Linked DNA regions of Arabidopsis thaliana. The protein of the gene in region 3 interacts with the protein of the main gene of each other region in a pairwise test. Each region holds a gene or a part of one and is shown on either strand. Other genes may lie near its edges.

Evidence for each region. Proteins that work in one complex are often made in the same cells at the same time.
Region 1: the proteins of CO (region 3) and BBX32 interact in binary tests that used the Arabidopsis thaliana proteins (3 or more experiments, as listed by UniProt).
Region 2: the proteins of CO (region 3) and TGA4 interact in binary tests that used the Arabidopsis thaliana proteins (3 or more experiments, as listed by UniProt).

What each region holds. Positions count from the first base shown.
Region 1 is NC_003074.8:7,411,944-7,415,493, forward strand, and holds BBX32 (B-box 32), read right to left. Parts: upstream 1,785-3,550; 5' UTR 1,448-1,784; coding exon 770-1,447; 3' UTR 502-769; downstream 1-501. Other genes in the region: AT3G21140 (Pyridoxamine 5'-phosphate oxidase family protein), read right to left, coding at 1-143; MNS2 (alpha-mannosidase 2), read right to left, coding at 2,186-2,437, 2,573-2,743, 2,823-2,903, 3,039-3,140, 3,233-3,341, 3,536-3,550.
Region 2 is NC_003076.8:3,138,269-3,146,086, forward strand, and holds the start of TGA4 (TGACG motif-binding factor 4), read right to left. Parts: upstream 5,986-7,818; 5' UTR 5,944-5,985; exon of another isoform or gene 5,932-5,943; intron 5,890-5,931; exon of another isoform or gene 5,719-5,889; coding exon of another isoform or gene 5,455-5,718; intron 2,242-5,454; exon of another isoform or gene 1,071-2,241; 5' UTR 1,028-1,070; coding exon 869-1,027; intron 796-868; coding exon 715-795; intron 639-714; coding exon 579-638; intron 501-578; coding exon 423-500; intron 354-422; coding exon 290-353; intron 210-289; coding exon 1-209. Other genes in the region: AT5G10040 (uncharacterized protein), read left to right, coding at 5,455-5,718; AT5G10050 (NAD(P)-binding Rossmann-fold superfamily protein), read left to right, coding at 5,986-6,325, 6,536-6,695, 7,036-7,375; AT5G10060 (ENTH/VHS family protein), read right to left, coding at 7,726-7,818.
Region 3 is NC_003076.8:5,169,648-5,175,003, forward strand, and holds CO (B-box type zinc finger protein with CCT domain-containing protein), read right to left. Parts: upstream 3,439-5,356; 5' UTR 3,051-3,438; coding exon 2,289-3,050; coding exon of another isoform or gene 2,148-2,288; exon of another isoform or gene 2,056-2,147; coding exon 1,696-2,055; coding exon of another isoform or gene 1,691-1,695; 3' UTR 1,402-1,690; coding exon of another isoform or gene 1,364-1,401; 3' UTR 1,257-1,363; coding exon of another isoform or gene 1,247-1,256; 3' UTR 515-1,246; downstream 1-514. Other genes in the region: AT5G15843 (uncharacterized protein), read left to right, coding at 1,247-1,256, 1,364-1,401, 1,691-2,049, 2,148-2,264, 2,582-2,735. UniProt on the Arabidopsis thaliana protein: Transcription factor that acts in the long day flowering pathway and may mediate between the circadian clock and the control of flowering.

The DNA.
Region 1 (3,550 bases), on a different chromosome or scaffold from region 3:
CTGAGTCTCAGCTTCGGGAATTGCGTTTTGGGTAGCGAATTACAAAACCAACACGAAGACTGGGAAGAAGTGGGCAGCGGAGATTTGAGGAGAGGCTTAGTCTGTAAATTGGGTGTGTGTGTTGAAGTGAAGAGAGCTTCCATGGTGGATGAGAATAAGATTTTGGTTGAAGAGTCTTCTGATCTTTCACTATAGGCAGATGCTTCAGGCGTCTTTGTTGAAAGTAGCTTTAGGAATTAGGACTTTTCCAGAGTAGGGTTTGTATAACACACACATACATATAAGGGTTTTTCTTTTTCTTTTGGCTTTTTTTTTATAGTTGGATTACGATTACTTTTGTCCTTAGGAATTACTTTTGATGTATTTTCTATTCTCTTTTGTTTTGTTTTGATGTTGATAATAACGAATTTTCCTTGAAATAAGAAAATCAGTTTCTTTTCAATTTACAATTTTTATTGATAATAACATAATATTCTAAGAAATTATCTTTGTTTAAAAAAATTGGGAAAGAAAAGATTTCAATTTCATCTCAAAAGAACCTGATAATGACTATTGGATTACCATTATTCCGTTTCTAAAATCTTCTTACTGTTGATTAAAAAAATTAAATCTCCTCTAAAGAAATATCTATCATCTCAATTGGTTCAGACCATTTTTAGTTTACGTTGAAAAGAAAGATCAAACAGATCAATGACACAAACTATAATTAAGGCACTAAACACTAAATGTCCTAATTTGCATAATGCGGGACCCATGTCAATAATATTTCTCAAACGTTGTCGTTTTCAGCCCATCCTTCCTCCGAATCCACGCGCCACCGTCTAAGCTGCTGCGTCATTGCACGCGCCAATTTGCTTTCAACCGCTCGAATCATCCCAGCTGAAACTCCAGTCACATCTTCTACTTTCTTTAAATTCTGCCACGTCGTCGTGTTCTTAACGCCGAACCAAAACGCCGCCGCTAAGAACACTCTCTTCGTCGCTCTTGGCCTCGTCTCCACAGCCAAAGCCAAAGACGCATATGAAACGACAGCGTTTGTTAAATCCCTGTTTAGTCCTAACTTACCACACCAATTTACAAAAATGCCATCCGCCACCGTAACCGCAACGGCCTTGGCATTCACTCTGTTTTCCCTCCCTCGCGCTCTGTTTACGTCACGCGTCGTTGACGATAGCTCGGAGCTTGAGACACAGTCAAGAGACGAGCAGCAAGAAGAAGACGACGATTCTGAACAACATGTTGTTCGTGGAGGCCAAGGAAGAAGAGGACCAGAAACGAAATTTTGAGTAAGAGATTTGCAATTTGGGCAGATGACACGCCGGAAATGACGAGCGAAGAGAAAATTTGAGGCATGGAACTTAGCGTCACAAGAACGGCAGAGGAAGGCAGAGTCCGCGGCACAATGGAGATCAGCTTCGGCACCACAAAGCTCGCAAAAGCTCACCATTGAGTCGATCTCTCTGATCACCAGAAAGAAGTGAGAGAGAATTGGTTTGGAATGATGATGGTGGGAAGAGAGATTTAAGGAAGAGATGTAAATGATTGAGGGAGAGAAAGAGCGGTGGAGTTTTTATGGTTCATGGTTGATGAGAGTAGTCTCTTCCACAGTTCACACATCAAAGAAACTTACATGAGCCATAATTTTTTAGGGAAATGAAATGAATGGTGTTTGTAGAATTGGAGAGAATGACGTGTCGTGAGGTTTTGAGGCTGGTGAGATTATGTGGTCATTTTTAAAACTATTACACTAGCCGCCAAGTCATTCGTCTTCCTTTTGGTGTGACGTGGAGATTTAGTCAACACTAATGTCTTTTCAGAGACTTGGTCTCATTGCAAATTGCTTCTTCTTCTTTTCTTGGTTGCTTCCATTACATTTCTTCTGCATTGTTGCAGTCTTTTATATAAACTTTTATACATTGATCTTTTGTCGAATACAAAACAGAAGATAATACTCTTAATTTATAATCTAAGGAGTAAGGATACAAAACACAAGGTGTAAACTGTGGTGAACCTGTTTGGGTTCTGATCCCAACTAGTACAACAATAGTCTATATCTTGAAATCTTTCCAAAAATGGTTTCTTAAATAAAAGGGTCTTTGAATAGCCAAGCTAAATCCAATTGCTCTGTTAAGATATATCCATAGAGCCCCTCCTACGAATCACACTGTGACCTCTCCAGGGAGTTTTACTTCTTTGTTATCCGACCATAATGCCTCTGGCGTATTCTAAATGCCGGTTTTCGTAGCAGTACTTTGTTGGATTGTTTGAGATTTACCTGATCGTTTCGAGACTTAATCTTAAGTGGATGAGCTTCGGTGTTGAATACCCACTCGTCTAAAGGAATGACTGTTGTCGGCGAGAAGAGTAGATAGAGATACTTGAGTGTCTCTGCAAGGAAGAAACTTTGCATCTTGTTGTCCTTAACGCCTGTATTAACCTGGAAATGATTGAAAGAAATAAGAATCTACCATCAGTTACACTCAATTACTAATATAGATGGTGGAATGATATAATTCAATTCACCAAGGTTTTAACAATGCAGGATCTAATTAAGCGCCTACGGAAAACTTACATCCTTCAAACCAACATATCCAGACTCTATGCGCGAGTTCTTCTCAAATGCTTCAAATATATTCCATCCCCACTCTTGATATGTCTTGTTTCCAGTTAACCGCCAGAGGTAAAACAGTGATTCGACAGTTTCTGGTCTCAAGATGTTCCACGACGTTCCAACACTCATGTCCTGAATCATCATGTATACTAAACAATAAATAACGCATAAAATAAACAATGTGTTTGAAAAAGACAGGCAAATGACATACACTCCCAGAGTTGAAGAAATAATTCTCCCCAGCCAGTTTTGTTGGAGTTGATTGGTAAAAGTTATAACATGTCCACGCAAGCTGCAAAATATGTGGAAAATAGCAATAAAGGCTATATCTCAGCAGCCTAAATCAGAAAAGCAGAGAGCGAAAAATTCGAAAGATCTGAAGCACTTACGACGCTATGATCAAAGATCATTCAAGTCATAAGTTTACCTCTTCAGCGAGTGTGAGAAACTTCTTTCCTTCAGCAGGATCACTATACCCAGATGCTCCTAAAGCCAACATTCCAGGAGCAAAGCATGCCAATTCATCCATCTTAATATATATGAGAAATAATGAGATTGGAAATGCCAGGCGATGAAGAATTTTCACGTAATACAATGGAAACAATGAACAGATGGGTTTACCTTATCGATCAAAGAATTTCCACTCTTCTCACAGATATATGTAAACGACAAAGGTGTTGATTTCTTAACCAAGCTTAGCAGACCATTCATTGACTTCTCCCACATATCTCTGATGCCAAGATGTCAAGTAATAACAGTACAAATTATTATTGTTCGGCTAAAGATGTTGAAACTAAAAGACCAGAAAAGAAAAGAAGAACATAGATATCAAGCAGAAAGATAAATGTGATGGCAGCTGGTTGAACTTAGCGGACTTGAATCAATCAGACATATATACACTCAGTAGACTAGAGTTAAACTTACCTATAGTGTTTCACT
Region 2 (7,818 bases), 2.0 Mb from region 3:
CCACATTCCGGACATGACATAGAAAACATCGATTTTTGCAGCGGCTGACTTCATTCGGAAGAGTTGAAAGTAATGTTTCATGGCATTCTCGACTAGAGAACGAAGCTCTATATCACTAACTTGTCCATGTAAAACCGTTCTTAGTTCACATATTTGCCTGTTCTGTTCTTCCACCCAATGTCCATATTCCATCTCAAATGCAACAATCCCTAACAAGAAAAAGAAAACTGATGAATCTCAAAATCAAATGGAAACTACCTAAACGCTAAAGGTGAAAGAAGACTCAAACCTGAGCTCATGTTATCTGAGAAACTAAGAGCATTGGTATCTACTCCGTTCCCCACATAGAAACCCTGCAACATTATGATCATATATTATTACATCAACAAGATACTTAAGGAAGAATAATATTTTGTGCAAACCTGTTGTCTAGCACGATCGAGTTCTTGCTCTAAATGAATTAGCTTTAACCGGCTAGTCTCTAGCTGCTGAACATAAGCCTGCAAGAAAATACTCTATAGCTCAGTTTAAAGAAAACAAAACTGTTTTACGAGTTGCAGGAACATAAAGTTTCATACTTTCTTGCGCAAACGACTTTTCCTAGCTGCCTCTCGATTCTGTGCTAGCCTTCTCTGTATCTGTGAAGACATAAAGATTAAAATGACAAAATCTTCAAGGAATTAAGATAACCAAATGAGCTATATTATAACTTACCTTATCAGGATGTCTAGATGTGGAAGCCTCTTGGTCAAACTTGTGAGGAGTTCCTTCTGTCCCATGAGAAGTATCCTCTGACTGAACAAAGATTAAAGCAAGCATTAGTTTCTGAATTCACTTTATCTGAAATATATAGCAAACTTTGAAGTACCAAGCTGTCTGGTTTTTCGTTAGTCGGGATTATGATAGAGCCAGGCGTATACATGTCTCCATTGTTCTTGAAACTTTCTTCCCACATACCGATTTGGTTGAGAGGCTCGTAAACTTCAAACCTTCTCGGTGGAACAAAATGTGTCGAGGTTGTATTCATATTTCTTCAACTAGCAACAAAACAAAAAAAAAAAAATACAAAACTTCATTCATCAAAGTCAAGAATTGCAAAAGATACAAGATCACAAGTTAAAGAGATATGTAAGTGATTTGCAGCCAAAAGCAAAGGTTGTGACATTAAGTCATTATCCATCACCCAATTCGTCAACGCTAGCTACTACCTTCCCTACATCTATAAGCTCCATTGATATGGCGAAACATCGGAGTCATCATATACACCCGAAAAGCCCTGTTCTTTTACTAGTGTCTTTTGAAAGGTTGTCAAATAGATACAAGTCACTGAATTTTGTTCTCAAAACCTCTAATTGCATTTCCAAAAACAGACCAAACTCTAATGTCATTGTCAGTTATTGGTTCCTACTGTATCTTCTTCTTTTAGCCACTAATGGTGGACCATCTTAAACACCTCCCAATAAGGAAAAAAAATCCATTACTCTCACCCAGTGATTTGATATAACATTCTTGTTATAAAAGTCAAGATTCGATTATAAGATATAGAACCAAATTATCACATAGCAAATCATGAAATGGTATATCAGAAGCAACCATCAGAATAAAAGTTACAGCTTCAATAAGAGAATGAAACAGAGAAACACAAAGTTTGAACCTTTTTTTGCAGTCAAGCAGAGATAATGATATTCATATCAACCAAGAGATGAAAATTCAGAAAGAAGAGAGATCCGAAGTCGAACCTTGTTCTGGTCTTTTGTGTCAAAAGGGCTTCAAAAAAGACGAACTTTTCCCGCGGAAACCATGAAAAGAGAAAACTAAAGCTAGATGAACTTTTCACTTTCAGCGACGAAATCGAACGCTAAGCCTAGAAATCTGCAGCTTAAACCGGTCTGATAGAATAAGGGATGGTAAAATCTCGTTCTCTGAACTTGTCATCTCGAAGAAGGAGAAGAAGAATCATTCAAGAGAGAACACGACAACTTTAAAAGAGAGACCTTTGATTGAGTTTTCTAAATTTTTCTATATCCTAATAAATGTCAATAAAAATATATATACTAACATTTATTTCTGTTTTTTTTTTTGGTTTGTTGATTCTTCGGTGATATTTGTCCTTTAAGTATATGTACTAGATACATCAGCTACACAGTCAAAAACCAAATTTTGACATGTTTAAGATACCTTTAAGTCCATAATTTATTCGATTACTAATTTAATTTTGTTTCTGGTTATTCTGTATTTCTCTCATTTGTCATGTCTCCACTACCTCGCTGATGTTACACACCAAGTATATTGGAAAATTATTCAGTAATAATAATTCATACTCTTTTAAGTTTTCCAACGATATATTTATTATCCATCACACGTCAAAGTTTGCGGCGAGTCTCGTCGGTGATGACGTGCCAATTGACGGCACACGCGCGGCTTAGTAGCGCGTGGGAAGAGGGTAAATTACTAAATCATATTATTGTGGTAAGATTTGTCGCGGGAATGAGAGAAGCGGTTAAACTTTCTAACTTCTATGTTGGGATTTATAAGACATCAATCAAAACAAAGTACTTGACATAATCGCAAGCCTGACGTCAAAATAAAAAAATAAGATGCGCGTAGTCATTAGTTTTGATAGTTCTATAGCATGCTGACCAAATATTGGGTTAAGATTACCCAATATATATAAGAGAACAATAATATTGAGGTTTCTCTATAAGCAAAACAAGAGACCGATAAGCATGTAATCTTTAAAGTTTTCAACTTACTAAGCAACGCTTATATAATAAAATTATATCAACATTTAGGCAGGCCTGCATTTAGGTATAGTTTATATCCAGGTTATGCCAACGAAAAAGATTCACATATACGTCTTGTTGTACTATTTGATAATATTTATATACTGAAAAAGATAAACGAACCTTTGCGAAGGAATCACTTAGCTGATAAAGAAATATTGAATTATTTTTGATTTAGAACAGATTGGCTCTTCAACTTGCATTGGAGTCGGAGACATATTTGTGTTGGGTGACCACAACTTCTATCCACTTGCCTCTTTACTAATTATTTTAAACACAACGAATACTAACTAATTTATGTGATTTGGTGCATTTTTCCGTGTAAACAGTATCTAACCAACTTTCCCTTTTCCTTTAGTATGTTATCATACATTCATACGTATATTATTCTTGTTCACGTATTACATTGTTTGCCTGGCAGTAATTAGTTTCCTGACATATTCACACATAATTTTTTCTTTTCCATATGATTAAGGGCTGTGAGTGAAGTCATTTAGCAAACAAAAGAAAGAAGGCTATGAATGAAGACGTCATTGAGGGAAGAGTCCTATGTCGACACAATTTTTTCAAAATATGAATAATGTATTAACAGTATTAGAATACAAAAAACATTAACAATGAAAATAAATAAATTCGAAAAGATATTAATGAGACATGACGCACAAACTCTTTGCTTTTACCTATTTGTGGAATTCTTCCCAAGTGCTATCTTATTAAAAAAAAGTGGTTTGCCACTAAGAGTGGGTGTCGTCACTCTTCTTTTTTCATTTGTATTTTTGGCTAACAATATTCATGTCTTGAATTCAATCTTTGAGTTTTCACGAACCCTGTAATATTTAACTCGACTTCTACATTCTAAAAGATATTATCTTTTAGTTTTGTTTAATTTATAAAATATTATAGAAAGGATTCTATATATGATTGAGTGCCTGAACGTAGAGCCAATCATTCGTGAACGATAAATAGTACACCAAAGATAAAACATTTTATATGAAAGTGATTTATGTTGGCGTGTTAACACCCAGTTAAATGTAGTGTGGTTCAATATTGTTCCCATTTTGAAGCAAAAGCTGAGACGATAAGTTATACATTTTTAATGTCATTCGAATTTACAAACATGGACTTTAATTATCAACTGTTTTTTCGGCACCGGAAATCTTTCGAAAAAGCTTGATTTTTTCCGAATTTTGACTATATAATATGGAAGAACCTAGTCAAGACAATCCGTAGTTGGCGGATAATCCTTAATTTCCCATAAAACTTTTTAGATTATTTGAAAAGTTAAGAATGACAAAATGTTTTGGGATTTGGTCCCGAGCCACTCGACATTTGGAAAAATGTTTTGGACGAAGGGATAAAAAGGATACGAATGCCAGGTAAATCGAAGCAAACTTGAAAGTTTTTTAAGTAATGTTTTAGAGATATTGTTGTTTCTATTTATGTATGCTCAAATGTGAGTGTGTTTGACGTGAAAAGGAACAAAAGAAGGCAGTGCAACTGTAGAAGTAGATCACACTTATCCACTAAATAGGTGTAAAGGTATGATGTTTTTATTCGATGAATTTCATTGCAAGGATTTTCTTGAAACAAATAGATAGATTTGTGAAGTAGCCAATTGAGTAGATTGTTCATATGTACATTTGACTCATAATAGTTTTTATAGCCAAGTTGATTAATTAATCGAAGTAACTTACTTTCTAAATACTCATTATATATATATATATATATATATCTTACATTCTTTCTAAATTTCATATGAATATAATATATCAAATAAAGATATATGTCTTTCTAGAAACAAAAGAAAAAGAACGTAAAATAGGAAGAAAGTAAGAAAATTGAGGAAGTCTTTGCGACATTATCCCCAAGACAAAATGGGAACTATCATCATGTTAAGATTAACTTCCTTTTCTTCTCTTTCCTTTTGGTTCCTACCTTTGACTACATTTTATCTTCTTCTTTTACTTTACTCTTTTCTTCTACTATATTATATAAAAGCTGAATATTTATCAAAAATAAAATACGTATTCTGGTCAACATCTTTCGTCTAATAGTAATTTTGGTTGAAGTAAAAGATAGATAATCTAAAAGAAGATTATTAAAATCGTCGTGGAACGAGACCTATCATTTCCTGATCCCCCGAAACAAAAAATCATGAGTTGTAAGAGCATCCCCATCAGTTTTGAAAGCCCACAAAGAGAAGAAAGATTTAATTTGAAACCAAAAAGTTTTTTTGTCAAAAACTGAAAATGTCGAGAAATGGGCTGTAAGTAAGTTTATATAAAATTGGGCTTGTAACATAAGATTGAGAAATAATAATTTATGGCCCAATAAAGTGTTTTGAACAGATTTGGGTTTCGATAATGAGGAATAAAATGATTTCACAAAAAGTATAATATTATTTGGACAATGCCGACTAATCGAGGTTTTTAAAACCATTGTCTGTAACTAAAACAAGTATTGGTGCACACACGGTATCAATAAACCAACCTAGCCAATTTTCTCTTTAAAGAAACCATCAAAGCCAATAGAAAGTAATGTGATATGATTAACATAAAAAGAAAGTGGAACATTCCTCATTCAAAACCCGCACACTGAAGCCAGTATAAATAGCTTCGTGTATCTTTGGCATAGAATTGGAGACAGACAACTGATATAGGAAGATCCAACAATGGATTCATCGGCGGACATAGCAATATTAGTGGCAGATGAATGTAACCAAAAGGTGAATACAACGGCAGAGAAAGCATCGAATACAGCGGAGGTTGGGTGGTTGATGATGTTTGGGATTGAGGAGAAGAAGATTGAAAGTCTGATGAGGAAATTTGAAGCTAAATCTCAGTTTGCTGTGGCGGTTTCTAGTGGCTTTTTTCTGCTTAACTATGTTTCATCCTTGTACTATAAGTCACGTTTGAACCTCATGCTGGAAATCTAGTTTAGGCATGATGTTACTTTCATTTGCTTCTCTAATCACCAGAGGGCATGTTGCTTTAAGTTTCGAGTTCTACAAGCTTTGGTTTTATACTCTTTTGGGTTAGTTTTTAAGTACAGTTTCTTGTAAGTTAATGGAAACGGTGTCGTAGTAAGAAAAAACAAATCATCGTAGTAATTAAGCCTAATCCGATGCATTAATTAATCTCTGAAATTTGTTGGTTTGCACAAAAAAAAAAATTCCATTGTTGTTGTTCCACGGAACTCTAAAATGGAGAGTGGCGATGAGAGTCCGGTGGTTCTAATTACGGGATGTTCTCAGGGAGGAATTGGTCACGCGCTGGCCCGTGAGTTCACTGAGAAGGGATGTCGAGTGGTGGCGACGAGTCGATCACGGAGTACGATGACGGATCTGGAGCAAGATTCGAGGTTATTCGTGAAGGAGCTTGATGTGCAATCGGACCAGAATGTGAGTAAGGTTTTGTCGGAGGTTATTGATAAGTTCGGTAAGATCGACGTTCTTGTTAATAACGCCGGAGTTCAGTGCGTTGGACCTCTGGCGGAGACTCCAATTTCCGCCATGGAAAACACATTCAACACCAATGTTTTTGGTAATAAAGATTTGATTTTTAGTTTCAATTATTACATTTATTGGAGCTTCAACAGTTCTGGTTTTTTTGCTTATTAGTGAATCATTGGAATTTACAATCCATTTCAAATGTTGATTCTGTGGACATTCAAGGAACTCAAATACGTGTTGATCATGTGTGTTGCGTTTGGGCTGTTAGGAGAGTTTTGAAGAAGTGAATTTTTCAATGCAGGTTCCATGAGGATGACTCAAGCTGTTGTACCACACATGGTGTCTAAGAAAAAGGGAAAGATTGTCAACGTTGGAAGTATCACTGTTATGGCACCTGGTCCATGGGCTGGTGTCTATACAGCTACCAAAGCTGCTATTCATGCTCTTACCGATACTCTGAGGTTTGCTTTTACCGTTTTCAGATTTGGTTCCACTGTTTTAACTTATCAAACGCCGCTATTTGTGTCGTTTGAATAATCTTCCTATGTCGCATGCTGATATATATTCTGTTTGTTCTGTCAATGGAGATTTGATGGTAGTAAACTAAAAATTGTTGAAATGGTCTAATCTTTTTTTAAGGTGTGATCAAACTTGAGTATCATTATTTCTGAGGACTAAAGTCTGATGTTGGGTTAGGTTGATGATTCTTGATGTTCATGACAAGTGTAGTTGTTCAAATTATCCAGCACCGGATGGTTTTGGTTTGTCAATTGTTTTGTAATGTTTCCTGCTTAACGTCAGGTTGGAGCTTCGTCCGTTTGGGATTGATGTCATCAATGTTGTCCCGGGAGGAATAAGAACAAACATAGCAAACTCAGCTGTGGCAACTTTCAACAAAATGCCTGAGCTGAAACTATACAAGCCTTATGAAGAAGCTATCAGAGAAAGGGCGTTTATATCACAGAGGATGAATCCAACTCCTGCAGAAACATTTGCCAGAGACACTGTAGCCGCAGTGCTGAAGAAGAATCCACCCGCTTGGTTCTCGTCAGGCAGGTATTCAACCCTCATGGCAGTCATGTATCATATGCCCTTATGGCTCAAAGATTTTTTCCAGAAGCAGGTTTTAATGAAGAAGTGATAATCAGGTTGGGGTTTAAGACAGAATGTACCTTAAACACGAATGTAAAAGCTTTGTTCAAATTGTTAATTGAATCTCTTATGTCTCCATGTTTGAGTCAGTTCGGTTCTTAAGGTATAGAAGTATACATACATACAGGAAGGAGATAGAGAGTGAACAGGAGAAATTATTACATTATGTTGTAGAAACTTGTGGTACAAATATCTGTAACGGGAAAAGGTGAGGATTCTACAACCAGAGGAACAGTAGTTCTACTTTGATTTGACCCAACAATGTAACATCGAAACCGCATTCGAGCAGATAAAAAGGGTCAGAACTATCTAAAGCTATTAACTAACATCATTTCTATTTTAAGAATGGTGTGGAGCTCCGTAATACATTATCCCTGGTGGCTGGAAAGTTGGACCTTGTTGAGATTGCTGAGCTGAGTTCGACTGAGGAAT
Region 3 (5,356 bases):
TCATCGTGAATGATAAGATTATTATCTTTTGATAAGATAAAGATAGAAAATGATCATGCAACAACAAAAAAGGAAACTTCCTGAAAGAAGATAAGCTTAGTTCGGAAGACTACTTGGGCCGTCCCCTGAAACAGAAGTTTATCGCGCAAGAATAATTGGGCCTTATATCAGATCCTTTGGCCCAGCCCGTTAGTATTAGACAAGACCAGTTGCGTGCGTCATTGTTGAATATTTCGAAGTTTGATGATCGATCGTCGCTCAAAATTTAGGGCTTTTCACTTCACAATCCCGATTTGGGGTTTTCTGGTAAACTCCTTTAATCTCAGCTCGTCAGACAAAATCGATCTGGGATGAATTTGGATCTAATTGAGCAAAAAATTGTGTTTTTTCAATCTATTGAATTTCACATCCTTAAACCCTTGCATATTCAATCTATTGAATTTCGCATATTTTTCCTCAAATTTATCCAAAATCATCCCAAATCTATTGTGACGGGTTGAAAGTAAGTTTCTTTATCGAAAATCAGTTTGAATGAATGTTAGGGTTTATATTTTGATGGTGACTGATTCCGATTTGTATAAATGTTAGGGTTTATACTGGTTTCTGACTCTCTGGTAAGTATAGAGATGATTATATATTAAATGGTGTTTTAAGGCGTGTTCAGATATAGCTGTGCTTGTGTTGTTCTGTTTTGGCATTTTTCATTTGTTCTGTCTTTACTTCTTCTTAGTCAGTCTGTGGATTTCCTTTGTAATGGTTATTGGTTAGTTAGGAACTACTCTCAGGCCTTCTTCACATGACACCAAAGTTTTTTGTGGATTATGTGGAGGAAATTGCTATTTTAGTATATGGTCATTGAAGCAAGATAAGAACCTTAGAAAGCAGAGTGTTATAATTTTTCTGTCAAACTCATGCTGTAGTTGCAGACTTTTTCCTACTTCAGATTAAGGAGAATGGTTTTTTTTTTGTAAGCAAGAAGTTAAAAGAGTGAGAATCTATGAAGGCCCAGGGACCATGTAAAGTTTGGGAATGGTTTTAAAATTTGATGGCTTTGAGAATCGATCTGAACTATCCTTAGATTTTTGGAAAAGTGCAAAAAAGTGCAAAGTGCAGCATCCTTATATCACTTTATGAACTTTTCACGTGAGGTCTCGAATCCATCACTTAACATTAACACATAGTATAAGCTATACACTTGGTTGTTATTACTTATTTCTTCTTACAGTTCTTGAAGCCGAGAACATATATGGCTGATGGTTTCTACAATTAGGAACGTGATATGACTCATTTTAGTAAGAAGTTGTGATTTACAGCTGAGGAGTCTGTGTTATCAACTTGAATTGTAGAATCTTTTTGTTGTCAGGGAGGCGTGAAAGTGTCACATGTTCAGGTTATCGGGAAGTTATTGGCTTTGAACCTTGGCTTCCCTCTTAGTAGTTAGCAAGGTGAAATCTGCGTTTTCACTTCTTGATGATCCATATTTCACAAATGGGGATCTGTACCAATTAGACTGGTTTTGTTTAACTAATGCAGAGAAAGAAGAATACTATAGTTTTAATTAGCCAAAACTACAAACCCATTTGCACAACAGTAGTAATACTTCTTGAAGCTAAGAATTTCACCAAACCTAACATAATCTCAAACTAAAAGTAATTTACAGCTTGCAATCTAGTTTTTCTTTTTGCCACAGGAGTATCAGAATGAAGGAACAATCCCATATCCTGTGTTGTACATTAGCATCGTGTTGAACCCTTGCTCCTCGGCTTCGATTTCTCTCTTTGCGAACCGGCCATTGACCCGCGGTCTTATCTCTGCATATGCCTTCCTCGAAGCATACCTTATTGTCTTCTCAAATTTCCTTGTCTTCCTCTTCTCTCTGTATCTCAGGACCCTGGCTTCTCTGTCCATTGGACTGAGTTGTGTTACTGTTATCATCTGGCTTGCAGGGTCAGGTTGTTGCTCTACTGTCCCTTTGGGCGTTCTTGGGTGTGAAGCTGTTGTGACACATGCTGTTGACTCCGGCACAACACCAGTTTCCATGGATGAAATGTATGCCTAATGACAGAAACAAAGACATTCTCAATCCCCCTGGTAAGAGGACTAAAGAGAGTCGATGCAAAAGGAAGCATATATTGTTTTTATTATAGACTTCTGGTGAAATTTCTATGTGCTATAGATCAACTGTTGGCAGTGGATCAGTGGATTTGTGTGTATGATGAAAGAATTCACCCTGCTGCGTTATGGGAAGATGCTAAATTGAAGGGGTAACAAATATACAAAAGCCTTACGTTATGGTTAATGGAACCATTGTCGTTGTAGTGAGTCCCTGAGGAGCCATATTTGATATTGAACTGAAAATTCTGTTGGTTATGGCACTGGTGGCCCCTTGATTCTTCAAGTTTAAGCGGAACAACTCTATCTCCCCCGTAGCTCGTCTGTGGTACGCTGCAGTTTTGTTGGTGTTGACTGTATTCACCTGTGAATTTGTAGTCCATACTCGAGTTGTAATCCACAAGGTTTAGATACTCATCACTAAACAATAACCCATTGTTTTGGTTATTGTTATTTTTGTCTGAATTAGGGAACAGCCACGAAGCAACCTCCTTGGCATCCTTATCACCTTCTTCACCTTCCTCTTGATCCACCACCAGTCTCTTCTCTGGATCGGTCATTGTTTTCTCGCTTTGGTGGTGAGTAGTGGTCATGGAGCTGAAAGAGTTTCCAGAAATTGGTAGAATTGGAACTCGCTGATGGCGTCTAGCAAGTGGGTTTGCAGAATGAACCTCTGAATCACAGGCTGTGCATAGAGAGGCATCATCTGCCTCACACAAAAAAGCAGCCGGAGCACGCTCACATGACTCGCAGACCCGGACACGTTTATGGCGGGAAGCAACGCGATTGGCAGAGTGAACTTGAGCATCACAGCTCATGCACAAGTAGGCAGAATCTGCATGGCAATACACGGTGCAGGCGTTTGACCGGCATGTGTCACAGGGTCGTGCCCTGTTGTTCTCTCCACTACCTATGTCGTTACTCTCTTGTTTCAACATAATAACTCAGATGTAGTAAGTTTGATGGTGTGGGAGCTGGTATCTGAAAGAAGGGGCTAATAAAGCTTATATCTGGTGTGAGAGAATAAGTAGAGGGGAGATCGAATCCTGAGTGCCTACACGTGGCACAGCGTTAGTGGCTCTTACATGTTATTGGATCCTCTTGCAGCTAGTTGAGCTTTTGGGAAGGCCTATGTGTAAAGTGTAAAGTGTAAAGTGTAAAGTGTAAACATCTCCTCCTATGCACTTCTTCGTTGGGACCCGTTCACAAGTTGCTTAGGTTTTGCCACTTGCCATACTGAGATTCTCAAGAGGAAGTGGTCCGGATAATGCCATGGTGTTGCAGGCAAATTGTTACTATTTTTTCGTATCACCTTTTACTATTTTCATATGCATTTTATTTAAAGTAAAGCTAGATTCGTTTTATCTCTTTGGCTTTATACAAAGTTTAAGTGGTTGAATATTCATCCTGAACCTTGTGATTACTGTTCAGGTATCTCTCCGAGTAAGGCTTCGAGTGTCAGAGCCATCACCAACTGTTATGGGTTGACTACCTATACAAAGGTTAGACAAACTCGTGAATATGGTATAGTTGTTGTTCCATTATTTGTGAATGCATCTGCATCATTTAGAAAGATTTGCAATTGAAACTTTCGAAGGATTTTCTGATGAAAAGTGTTATAATGTTTAATCTGGTTCATAAAGTCATGGTAATGAGAATCATATCGGAAAAGTGACATGAAAAACATAGAGACGGTGGATTTTCTAGGATCAAACTCGAATCCGCCAAGTAGTCTTGAGACTACAAATTAGAATTTACCTGACGCACAAGTTAAAACTTAAAAGGCATTTTGGAGTCCACATGAGCAATAATTAGATTTATCATATATAGTATGTAGAAATTTGCACTTGGTAACCATTATAGTAAGTAGTTACAAAACATGACTCATGAGTGTTGTCACATCTCTGTAATTTGGGTTTATGATGATACTCTATACTATTTATTGTAGCTTTATTAGATCTCAACCTGTGGAAGTAATCTAATACAAACGACACTTGTATGGAATTTTCAGGACATGTTTCTAAGATCACAGAGGTAATTGTGAAGTTTTCTGCTACACTCATTTACTAGTCCACATGATCCATAGATGCAATTTAACCATCTTCACTCTATTTGGTGACCCATTCATGTGTTTAGCATCGTGGGTTTTCCTGTACTAATAACCATTAGTACTTGGAGTTGCCTTGTTGGTGTTATGCTCATAATGTTTACTATGTGGAAGCTACAGGATACGATACTCTCTAGGTTTGAGGACTAGCTCCAGTTACGCTTTTGGGTCCAGTGAATGTATGATACCCATTATGTGGTCCAAAAAGAATGAGATTTGACGGACGCTCTAGTGGCCAAATTCATATGGCTACCTTCACTCTATGCCTTAAGAGCTGAAAAGTGAGTGTTTTTTTTTTGTATAAAATGCTGGTCCTAGGATACACTTTTCGCATCTCTTCCTCTTTCATATTTGCTTACACCGCACTTCTCTTTCCCATTTTGAACTTTAAACTTTGAAAAGTTTTTTTTTGCTTGGTAATTGGAACTTAACATACAAGTTCTTGTTATTTACTGGTTTTACGATGAATGTAATGGCATTTAGAATTGTTATGAAATGGTTATATGATCATTGAATTCTAAAGAAAAGATTCTAGGTTCTTTAGTAAGCATTTTTGGAGATCTTTATCCTGCCAAGTTGGATAAGTTGAGGCATCTTTGGCTTTTAGTGCTTTGGTGATGAAATTTTTTGGAGATTGTAACGTGGTTCGAGTTCATGAAGAGTAAATTGTGTATTGGCCTTTTCACTTGTAGCTCAAGAAAAAAGTAGTTTTGCTTATTATTGCTCGTTGACAGTCTCTAATTAAGTTTATTGTTGTAGCGGTTTGGAACTTCTCTCACATGTGTAGGCCTTCGGATAACTGTTACGAGTAATAGATCATATGTAACAATATCCTCAAAGTTGCATCGAGATTTTCAAGAAAACACTATTGCTTATTTGTTTTCATTCTTTATCAGGTTTCCGTGGTTTCGAATACTTTGCTTCTTTCAGATTAACGAAAACCCTATTTAGTTGCAAAGACTGAGAAGAGAATAAGAGTCGAGGGACCATATAAAGCTTGTAATTGTACGTTTATGCGGATTCTCCACTTTCCATGGCTGTGAGAAACTATCTGAGGAAAAGTGCAGTGACCTTTGGCAAAAGGTAATCACTTTTATGCACTTTCACGTGCTAGCTCGAATCCACACCAAATAGTAA